Drosophila melanogaster: one gene and its partner. The protein of the gene in region 2 purifies or fractionates together with the protein of the main gene of each other region. This does not show direct contact. Each region holds a gene or a part of one and is shown on either strand. Other genes may lie near its edges.

Region 1 (5,336 bases), on a different chromosome or scaffold from region 2:
GCATGTGCATGTGTGCGTGTGGAAATGCACAATAAATCATTTGATTCCCACATACTGCTTGAAAACAAAAACGTAGCTGAATCCGATTTTCTTATTGTATTAGTTTTAATTATATGGATTAAACAATGACTTACAGCTCCCCCGCAATTTAGGTGCACGTGTGTGCGGGAGAGGAAAGCAGCAAATATTCAGACTTTAACTAAGGGCAGACCTGCGCACTTACCCATCTTAGCCCCAATCAAGATTGTCGGCATAAGGAAATCATCAGCAAAGTATGAATTTATTTTAACTCGCTCTCCAAAATTTCACACTGATCAGGGAAAATTTTAAAATACACTCTGAATCAGGGAAATTCTCTCTTTAACAAGATAGAATTCAATGATTGACCTCTTTGTTCCGTTATTTTCATTTACATGCGCTTTGTCTCTTTCTCTCTTCTGGCTCGCCTGTGTGTGTGTGTGTGGGTGACCTCCCGCCCGGCAAAAAAAGAAGAAGAAGCCCAACTAAGGGCAGACATGCGCACTTCGAAAAAAAAACAATTAGCGCGTATATTTAGCCGACTTTTTGTTCTGGCGAGAATGTGTGGAAGGAAATGTAGCTGTTATAACATACAACACAGGTCAAAATAATAGGGTTACAGTCGGGAGCATAGTATAAAATAGTTCCAACAGACCAATTGACAATTGACATTAGCTCATTCATCACAATATTTTATAACCACATCAAATTTACTCACTAGAAACTTGGTTTGATTGCGTTTATTTGGTTCGAATACAAATTATGTTCACCTTAGATCTAATGATTGATTGCATCCGACCGATGTGCATCTTCTAGATGCATCAGTTTGCAAAGATTACACTCTTTGGCTGCAGCTATTCCTCCTCCTCTTCGTTCTCCTTCATGTGGCGCTCACTGTTTGGAGCATTCTACGGCACATTGTCATCCATTTCGCGCATCACTTCATCGGCTCGTGTGATCAGCTCAATCAGCCGGTAGTTCTCCTTGTACAGAGCAAACTCCTCGAGTAGCTTTAGGTACTTGCGTGCATCGGCGCAGCTGATGACACTGGACCCACTTTCTTGGCCGGATCCCCCATTGTTGTTATCGTCTTGGGCGGACTCATAGCGACGTTTGGTGCCCTGGCGAGGATTCAGCGAGTTTTCAACTGCCGCAGGCGAACTCACCTTTCGCTGCCGCATCTGCTCGATGTACTCCATCTCGTCCTCCACATTGGCCGCCAGAACCTCGGCCAGCGAGGTGACACTGGAGCGACCATTGTTCGCGTCTTCATCGAGATCCGCTGGGTCTTGGTCCAGTTCCGATTCCAGCTCAGCCTCTGGCTCCACTTTTATGTGCACTGTAGGCGGAATTTCAAGATCCTTTTCCCTTTGTGCTCGGTCATCGTTCTCCTGGAGCTCCGCCTCGGGCTGCTTCGCCAGGAGCTCTTCCGGGTCCTTGGGCTCCACTTTGATTTCCTTTTCCTGCTTGATCTCTAGTTTGGGCGGCGGTACCACCGGTCCTTTGTCCTGCTGCTGTGGGGCAGGAATCTTGGTGATGCTCTGAGCGAGCGTGGCTAGTGGTATGATGGTCATGGTCATGGGCTGTCCGCCCGCTTGCGTCGGAACAATGGGTGTGGCCAGGAGAACTTTTTGAGTGGTGCCTGGCGGTGTGTTAGCTTGGAGGGGCAGTCTAACTAGAGGCGGCAAGGGCTTCAGAGCCCTGGCAAAATTTAGTTCGCTTAGTGAGGGCTTGACATCAGGCTCCTCCTCCAGATCATCCTCGCCGCTAATACCGCCACCGTCGACATCCACCTCGTCATCCTCGTCTTCTACATAGCTGCGGGGATGGCTGCTCACCGGGCTGCCCAAGCTGACCTCTTCGTCATCCTCCTCGCCGTTCCGTGGCCCACTTTCCGGCATGCTTTCCGACATGACGTCCTTGACGATGTCCTTGATCTGCACCGAGTAGCCCTGCGTGTAGCCTATCTTCAACAGTCTGGTGTCGCTGTGTTGGATGCTGTAGGTGCGTCTGAACTTGTCGCACCACTCCTGGTGCGGAAAGAAATGTGCCAGGTTCATGGAGCTCTTGAACTGCAGCGCCATCTTCTGGATGAGTCCGTCGGAGATGCTGAAGTCCTTGTAGTACATCATGCGGCGTATCCAATCGTACACGGCCTTGCCCAACATCGAGACCCTGACGGTCTTCGTCTCCATGGTCTTGGCGTCCTGGCTCCTGCGGGTTCGCTGATCCCACGCGTTCAGAATCTCAGCGCGCTGCTGCACGATCCGCTTGATCTGATCTGGGCTGCAGTTGAACAGCCGGCCAACGTGCTTATAAACCGGCAGCCGATCGTATTCCCGCAGAGCAGCAACCTTTTCGTTGAGGGCCAGGACATTCTTGCGCTTGATGCGATTGTCGAAGGCCACCTTCTCGGCGGCCGGCAGGCTGGGGGTGTGCGTGCTAGTGGGTGTGGGTGATGCAGTCGAAGTGGGTGCTGCTGGTGGAGCAGGCGCAGGCGCAGGAGCTGGTGTGAGAACCTCCGTGTCAGTGGCCTAACGACGAAGGGAAAAAAAGTGCTGTTATTACCGGGTTTTATGGTAACAGTTGAAATCGTGCAAAGTAATGCCACCATGAATGTAGAGATACAGTGCTCCCTCTGAACATGAATAATGTAGACAAAACAACAGAAGGTCTTTGCATATTTAGTTATGTTAACAAAAGCAACAGTTAAGAAAGACGAAGTTTCAAGGAATACATGGGGCTTTTATACTCATACTCATTCAAGCTTATATACAAATAAACGCCTAGATCAAGTCATTTACACTCGTGTTCTTTGAGAAGTGAAATGGGGTGGAAACACTTTGCGAGGCTTGACTGTGGCCACTTACCTTCGCCTTGTTGTTGTTGTCCTGCGTCTTGGAGGCCTCCTTGTGCTCCTTTTTCTCCCTCTCCACGCGCTTCTCCACCCTCAGCTCCCTCTGCAACTTGCGTTTTTCGCGTATCCGCATTGTTTGTGCTTTCCGTGCAATTTACACGGCAATTGCCGTTTGTTTTCGTCTTGTTTGTTTTTGTTGCTGCTGCTGCGCCCACTCAATTTCGCCCACCCCTTGCACCCTTTCTGCTCTCTCACTCACACACCCGCCCGCCTGTGTGTGTGTGTCCGTGCGGCTGTGTGTGTGCGATGGCTACGATTATGCGCGTTGACTGTCAAGCGAATTCAAATCATTTCGTCACTGCTTTTCTCGCTTTTCTTTGGCCTTTCAATGCGCTTTGGCTCTATTCGCTTTCGTTTTCTCTTCCTAGGCACTCGATTTGTCTTCTGATTGTGATTTTCCAACTGGCCGTGCGCTGCACCTTGCGTATTTTCCGATGTCCGTGCGAACTAGACGACGACCCATACAAAAATAGCTGCCGCGTTATCTCGCGCAGTTTTCATTCTCTGCTCGCTCCCTCTCTCGCTCTCGCATGCGCAACGTGGGCAACTAGAACGGAAGGGAAGTCGGCGTGTGCGAGAGTGTGTGTGCGTGTGACCAGCTGAGAGGGTGCAACTGCGCATGCGACAACTTTACTGTTACTTTCGCCATGTGGCAACTCTGCAGGCGATCGCTTTTTAAGTAGAGTAAGATTAATGAGAACATACATATGTATGTATGTATTTTGTTTTCAGTTTAAGAATGAATTGATTTCACAAGATCTGCAACTAACTGCACTGTAAAATATAACTATAAAGTCTTTGCGAATTGTAATCAATATTTAATTTAAATTAATCGAACCACCACCAATTGGAAACCCACGAGTCCATACATTTCGAAAATAATCTTTATTTTAACGCTTTTCTCCGGCTAATTTGTTTAACCGAATTTGGTGAAGTGTCGCAGGATGTGCGACATGGCCGCGGGATTATCGGCAGGAACCATGTGACCAGCCCGGTTGACCCAAAACATGCTGAAGTTGCCATAGGTCTTCTCGTAACCCTCGAGAACTCGATCTACGGTGATTCCCACGCGCGGAGAGACCTGGTAAGATGGCTTGGCGGACCATTCCATTGCTTCGATCCAGTTGACGGCTCCCGGAGTGGCGCAAATCAGGTCCAGTCCTCCGGAGAACACGCCCACTTTTACGGTGGTGTTGTTCAGCAGTTCACCCACTAAAAGTGTCATAAGGCTATAATTTGAGGTAGCACCCAGACGGTTGAAACATACCAACATCCACAGCTGGCTTCATGAAATCGCCCATCAGCTTGGTGAAGGTGGTGCCGCTCTGGGCGCCCCATTTCACTCCGGTGTTGATTCCGAGGGCCTCGGTCACGGGTCCAAGCATTAGATCCTCCAGCAATTTGTCGCGGTCCTCATCCACATCGAATTTCACGAGGGTGCGATACATGACCTCTGGATAAGTGGTTGATGAGAATCAGCTCGGTAAGTTACGCAACGGATCTTACCCTCCGGAGTCATGGCAGCTCTGGACATCAACCTGTACTGATCACCCAATGTTGGGGTCTCCACGTTATAGAAGTCCACTCCCTTGGACTCGCGCAGCACCACTGACTGGGTGGAGCTCCACTGCAAAGTGGCCTGTGTCCACTTCTCGCGGTCAACATAGTCCTTAGTCTTCAGGGCCGAAGCTTCAATCTTGTCATGGCCATCCTGATCCACGATTCCCAACTGCAGCAGGAAGGGAGCCCACGAGAGCACAGAGTCTATGGGTGAGGTCCAGGGATCTCCCAAGGCCACCGAAACAAAGTTGCTCTCGATCTCACCGCGCTTGATGGCGTAATCCAACTCCAAAGCGAACTCCGGGGCCATCTTTCCGCCATAACTCTCGCAGAAGATGTGCAGCGGCACAGTCTTGAATTCCGGGTGGTTTGTGTAGAAGCCCTTCATCAGCTCAACGAGATCCAGGGCGATCTGCTTGTTGTTGGTCGTGTAGTAAGAAGATCCGTCCACGTAGCTGAAACCACTGCCCACGGGATTGTCGATGAACATCACGTTCATGTCCTTCACCCAAGTCCAGTCGCGGTAGCTGCCGTCGAGCTTCAGGGGACCCAACTCCTCAAAGTTTCCGTATCCCGTTGAGGAGGCACCTGGACCTCCTTGGAGCCAAATGGCCAGCGGACGCTCCGTGTAACTGGAGACATTGGCGGTGGTGTAGTACAGCCAGTAGAACATGTGGGCGCCAGTCCTGACATCCACAAATCCCCAATCCTGATCACCGGGTCCATAGCCCTTGCGTGCTGAGAGTATATTGAATTATAGCTCATTTCGATTAAATAGTTATTAATATACAAAGCTCTTTGATTTTGTAATTTCATGATAGCCCCTGATTTCTAGGGAACA
Region 2 (5,230 bases):
TGCTTGAAATGGGTATATGGAATTCTCGCCGTCTTTCTCTGTCCAGGGGCTTTATTAAAAATACCACTTTATTTATGTGTTATGAATGTTATTACTTGAATGTTCTTATAACTTCGGTTAAACGTGCACTACTGTGTCTCCATTAAAGCTCCCTTACTTTAAACCAGAAGAGCTCAGATATATGAGCTGTTATCAACACCCCTAATAGGAATGTATAAGGAGAGATTCGGGCTCCGAAAAAACCAACCCCTTAAATCCCACACCTTTCACCGCACTGAATACACACGCAAACTCGCCCAGCTCGAGGTGCACCTCACGATGAAACTATCTTATGCAGTGTTTTTATTTATTTTCCTTGGATCTTTTTTAAACTACCACGCATGCACTACTCGAACTACCCAATCACCCCCGCGAAACAATGCAGTGGGAACACCACCAACTCCCACGTCCTTATAGGGGATGTGAGCACGACCCACTTGCGCGTGCCACACATATATCGAGAAAAGTGGCCCAGCAAAAGTGAGCACACTTCTAAACCTTGATTGTAATCAAAATAGGCATCTGATGATGAGAGAAAGGGGAAAAGAGTAGAGAGAGTATATGTTCACCCCCTAAGACACATACATATATACATTCTTATCCGGATTCTGAAAAAGGTGGGTGATGAAATTGTGTGAAGGAACCTAAAGTATTGCCAAATTAAAAAGCTCTGCGTTTGTTGGATGTAGTCTTCAGGTTTTCTTTCTAATTATAGAAGTAGGCCATTTTAGAGTCCTTTAAGATTTAAGGCCTACACAGTGATGCCCACAGGTTGCAGTAAGCGCAACTAAACTTTGTGTCGGAAGTTAGCAACACTGTAAAGAAGGCATTTGCGATGTATACTATTCTTGATCAGTGTCAACACCACAGGCGACAAAGCCACGTCCGTCTATACGTGTCTACGAAAATTATTCTCTTAGTTTTAATGTTATATGCTTGCACCTTTTCCAAGAGTATTCTTTGTCTTGCACATGGTATATTATTCGGTACGGAATAATAAAAAAAAAAATAATTTAAAAAAGTGTAGCATCGTTGTTTTAACATCTGTACATATATATACATAAGTATATATATATATATATACATATATACACTTCAATATATTTCGGTTGTAATTGCATCGAGAAGTCGAAAAGTCACAGGGAAATTGAGGAAAAAGAATCCTAGTTTGTTTTTATATTTCGCACAAAGCGTATACTCGTAAAAGCCGTTTTTGACATCATAATTTCGGTTTCAATTTGATCAAAATATTAGAAAAGAAATTATACTCTTGTTGTATCCGATCATAAATTCTTCTTATTCGGTGTTTTCTCAATTTACTATTTAATGTAAGCGTATGTGTGCTTTCGCGTTTTATATGTATTCTTAAGGCAATTTTTAGTATTCGTGAATATTTCATTATTTTTGAATATTTAAATTCTTTAACCCCAGCTTCCGTAAACTCCAAAAAGTTACTGCCGTTTACATCGAAGTATCGTTTATTCTATCTATACATATATAGGAAAATTAAAAATACCTTAAGACACTTTTTTATAATTTTAAGCATGCAAGACTAACAGCCGCAATAATTACCAAATTATGATAAGACAATTTGTTATGTTCTGCAAAGAATTGACCCCACCGTGTTTTTTTACTTTCCCTTTCCCACAATCGAATTTTCTTGGTACTGCTGTTTCTCTCTCTCCCTCTCTTAATTTCCCACCATACTCTTTTTTCTGTGCTGGACAGCACAGCTCTACAAAAATGAAATGATAACAGCGAAAATACAAACGAGAGGCAAGTTACGCATGCGAAGGTTGTCGCGGCAGTGGAGTCGGCGCAAAGACCACCACTGTTCATAGCAATGCAGTGACAGAAATATACATATGTATGTACATATACAACCAACAGTAAGAGTTCGTAGGAGTTTATAGTCGGGGAAACAGGAAAATACCAGCAAAAATGTAATCTTCTTGTTATGTCTAAATTTTTATATTTGTTTGAGCTATTAAATGTTCTTGACTATCTTAAACTCATCTCGAGTAGAAACTATTTTTGTTAGGCATGTGTTTAAATCGGCCATAAAATAAATAAAATACTCTTATTCCTTAGATTTAAAAGATGTAACAAATATAATCTGTAATTGTAGGCTGGCCGTTGCCCTGTTCCAATTGGAACTGTACTTTTATAGCCCACCCCAATACAACCTATAACAGTGGCGTCCTTCACTATTGGAACTGGAAAAACCCAATGAAGGTTGCTGTGAGCTAGCCATCCCGCTCTGTTTATCCATGTGTGTATCTACAAATTTTTCGTCTCTAGGGGGTGGTTTGGGTGTTTTTCGCAACCCCAAAAACGTCAGAATCACACAGACACAGATGCATCAAAAACACGCATACCTTCCAATGCAAATGGGAAATGCGTGTGCTGTCGTGCACACAATTGGAAGTGATACCTGTTTGGCGTTTCTATTCTACAACCCTACTTTACACATCATCCTTCCTATCGGAGTTTCCTGTCTTTGTTTTAACTTTTAGCTGAGGCGCATGGTTAAGTTACGGACACTCGCAGTTGGATTTTCATTTACGGCGCCGATGTAACGGTAACACAAGCTAAATACACCAGCACACATATATGATAACCTAATACACACACACAAGCCAGCAAGAACCGTTAGCTCAGAAACTCCGAAACTTTTGGGCATTCACTTATGCCACTACAAATCTCTATATACACATATAAATTATAGACTGTCACAGTGGAAAATCGGAAAATTTGTTGACCCCTACCACTAGTTTACACCCACATACGCACCTGTGTATTTTTGTTGTTTTTCCAGCTCCTTTATGATAACACACATACACACTCACAAAGAAAAAAAAGGCGCACGCACACGAACGCGCCGCCGCTATTGTGCATTGGTGTGTTTGCCCCTGCGCCGAAAATTTTCTTTGGCGTTTATTTATTATCACACTGCACATGCGAATATTCCGTGCATTTTACATTTGCGCACTGCCGTTTCTAGGTTGTAGCTCCAAAATTTCCCGCTCGCAAAGTTTCGCTGTTTTCCCTCACGATGCTTTTCCGTTAGCTTAGTTTTCAGCTGCCTGTCCCAGCACTTTTCCCCAAGTTTCGACGCAATTTTGCGATTTAATTTAGCCGAGGAATGGTATTTAGTACATGACAAATATCGATATACAGCACGCGTGATTTTTTCAGACGTCGATAATGTACACGCAATACATATCGCAGTCGAAGGAAAGCGGTCACTCTAAAATGCATAGGAGAAACGAGGATTGGCGGTCCCACTAATTGTGCTATTTAAGTTTAAATTCAAGTCCCCCTAGCGGACTTATATTAGTTGAAAAATTGATTGTATATTTTTGAGTAAGCATATAATAATCCATAAATATAATAATATAATAATAATTTTTGATATAAGAAATTTAAGTTTTCTGGTGCCAAAAAGATTTTAGTCTTTCTATGCAGGGAAAATTTGTTCCCTGGGCTTGCCACGTCCTCTATTACACTCACATATTTATAATAGTTTCATATTTATTTAGTTTGTTATTTTTTAGAAGAGTTTTTAAATTTCTCTCTAGCACTCCACCATCTCCGTATCTGATAAGAGACAGTTTATTAGTAGCTTTTTTTAAAGGTTTATATTATGAACGCTACAAAGAATATACAACATTTGATCCACGAATTAATCAGATGTAGTTATTAATGTAACAAAACTTTTAGGATACCCCAAAATAATGGTAAATTTTAAACAGTCGAAAAATTTATTATTCGGGAGTCGAACTGCAATTACACGTAAGCCCTTCACAAGGCAGCTAGCAATATTTAAAAAGGAGTAAGCTAGCCAGGCCAAATGAAAAACTGACATACAATCAACTTCGTATTTCACACGCGGGAAATTTAACAAAAAATAAAAAACAAAAAAATAGTTTAGGGATATGAAATCCTGAAGGATTGGTAAACTAGAACGACCGAAGACGACTAACTGCTTGCCACCAAAAATGTTGGGTTTTTATGTCCGTCGTCGGCACTCACACAATAAAATTCATTATTAGGATGTATATAGTGATAAAAGGAATTGTTTTTTTTTAACACAGATTGCCCGTATGTAAAAACCAAAGAATTCATATTATATAAAAAGAAACCACAAGTTGCTTATCGCTGTGAAATGAGGCTGGTAGTGCGCTTGCACTATGGGGAATTTAACATGTTTTATTGGCATAAATTAATATCTCGTAAACTATTTAAGATACGATGAATTTAGAATTATTTTGGCAAAGTGGGTGCCCCGCCCACTCCCATAAAATTTTTTTTTTAAATCAATATATTCTATCTAATCCACCAATGTATTGGAGTTACACCATGTTTTAGATTGTCCACAATCGGTACAAACTTAAGTCTCTTAACATTTTTATTGATAAAAAAATCTTTCAGAGTCGCATTTCGTACACTTCTATCAGGGCCGCATTGCTGATTGCTACCTAAAAATGTAATCTTCGCGAAAAGTCACAATAAGTAGCATTCGCAAAAGTCGCGTTAACCGTATGTGTTCTAAGTAGGTAATTAATCACTCTAAAACATTGACTAACACACATATCAAAAATTTTTTGAAACTCAATTAATTTTCGTAAGCACTAAAAAAGAAGGTCATCGATGGCACGTGGTTTTTAACATTGATTAATTTACATTTGCGTTACATAACTTAAGCCTTGATCTTAATCCGTTAAGAAAAAAGTGTTCAACAATTGAAACATTTTTAAAAACACATTTATGCCAAAAAACGAATCAAATTCCCCATAGTGGCTTTGGATTTATCTGAAACTTGGCCCTACTTATTCCTTATCGGCAATTCTTCCGGAATTCTACACGAACTGGCCTTATCGGTTCTGCATAATCGAAACTGGCAGTGATCTTGAATTCAGTATTTAATCCAGCTTGGCAACTTAAAACTGAATTGGGTCAAAGGGGTCGAGGCGTGTACTATTTCCGTTTATTTCACAATTGGCAATAATATTCTTCTATATCATTATGAAATTGACCACTGGAAATTTTTGAGTAGCATAAGACAAATTAATTGTTTTTACTTTACAACTATTATTTAAAAGAAACAAATAAATATTCACGAAATAATTTATGTTGCAATTCATTGCTTTCACATCAATATGTTATGTTGAAGGTCCTCTGATGCTAA

The links.
Region 1: the proteins of ewg (region 2) and ebd1 purify together in Drosophila melanogaster (affinity purification with western blotting; one study listed by BioGRID). This does not show direct contact.

The regions. Positions count from the first base shown.
Region 1 is NT_037436.4:682,140-687,475, forward strand, and holds ebd1 (earthbound 1), read right to left. Parts: upstream 3,411-5,336; 5' UTR 3,009-3,410; coding exon 2,889-3,008; intron 2,553-2,888; coding exon 927-2,552; 3' UTR 746-926; downstream 1-745. Other genes in the region: hiro (highroad), read right to left, coding at 3,852-4,147, 4,203-4,388, 4,442-5,233.
Region 2 is NC_004354.4:276,353-281,582, forward strand, and holds the start of ewg (erect wing), read right to left. Parts: upstream 3,283-5,230; 5' UTR 2,833-3,282; intron 26-2,832; exon of another isoform or gene 1-25. UniProt on the Drosophila melanogaster protein: May function as a positive regulator of transcription in developing and differentiated neurons, regulating common aspects of neuronal differentiation and maintenance. Requirement in the CNS may be higher than in the peripheral system.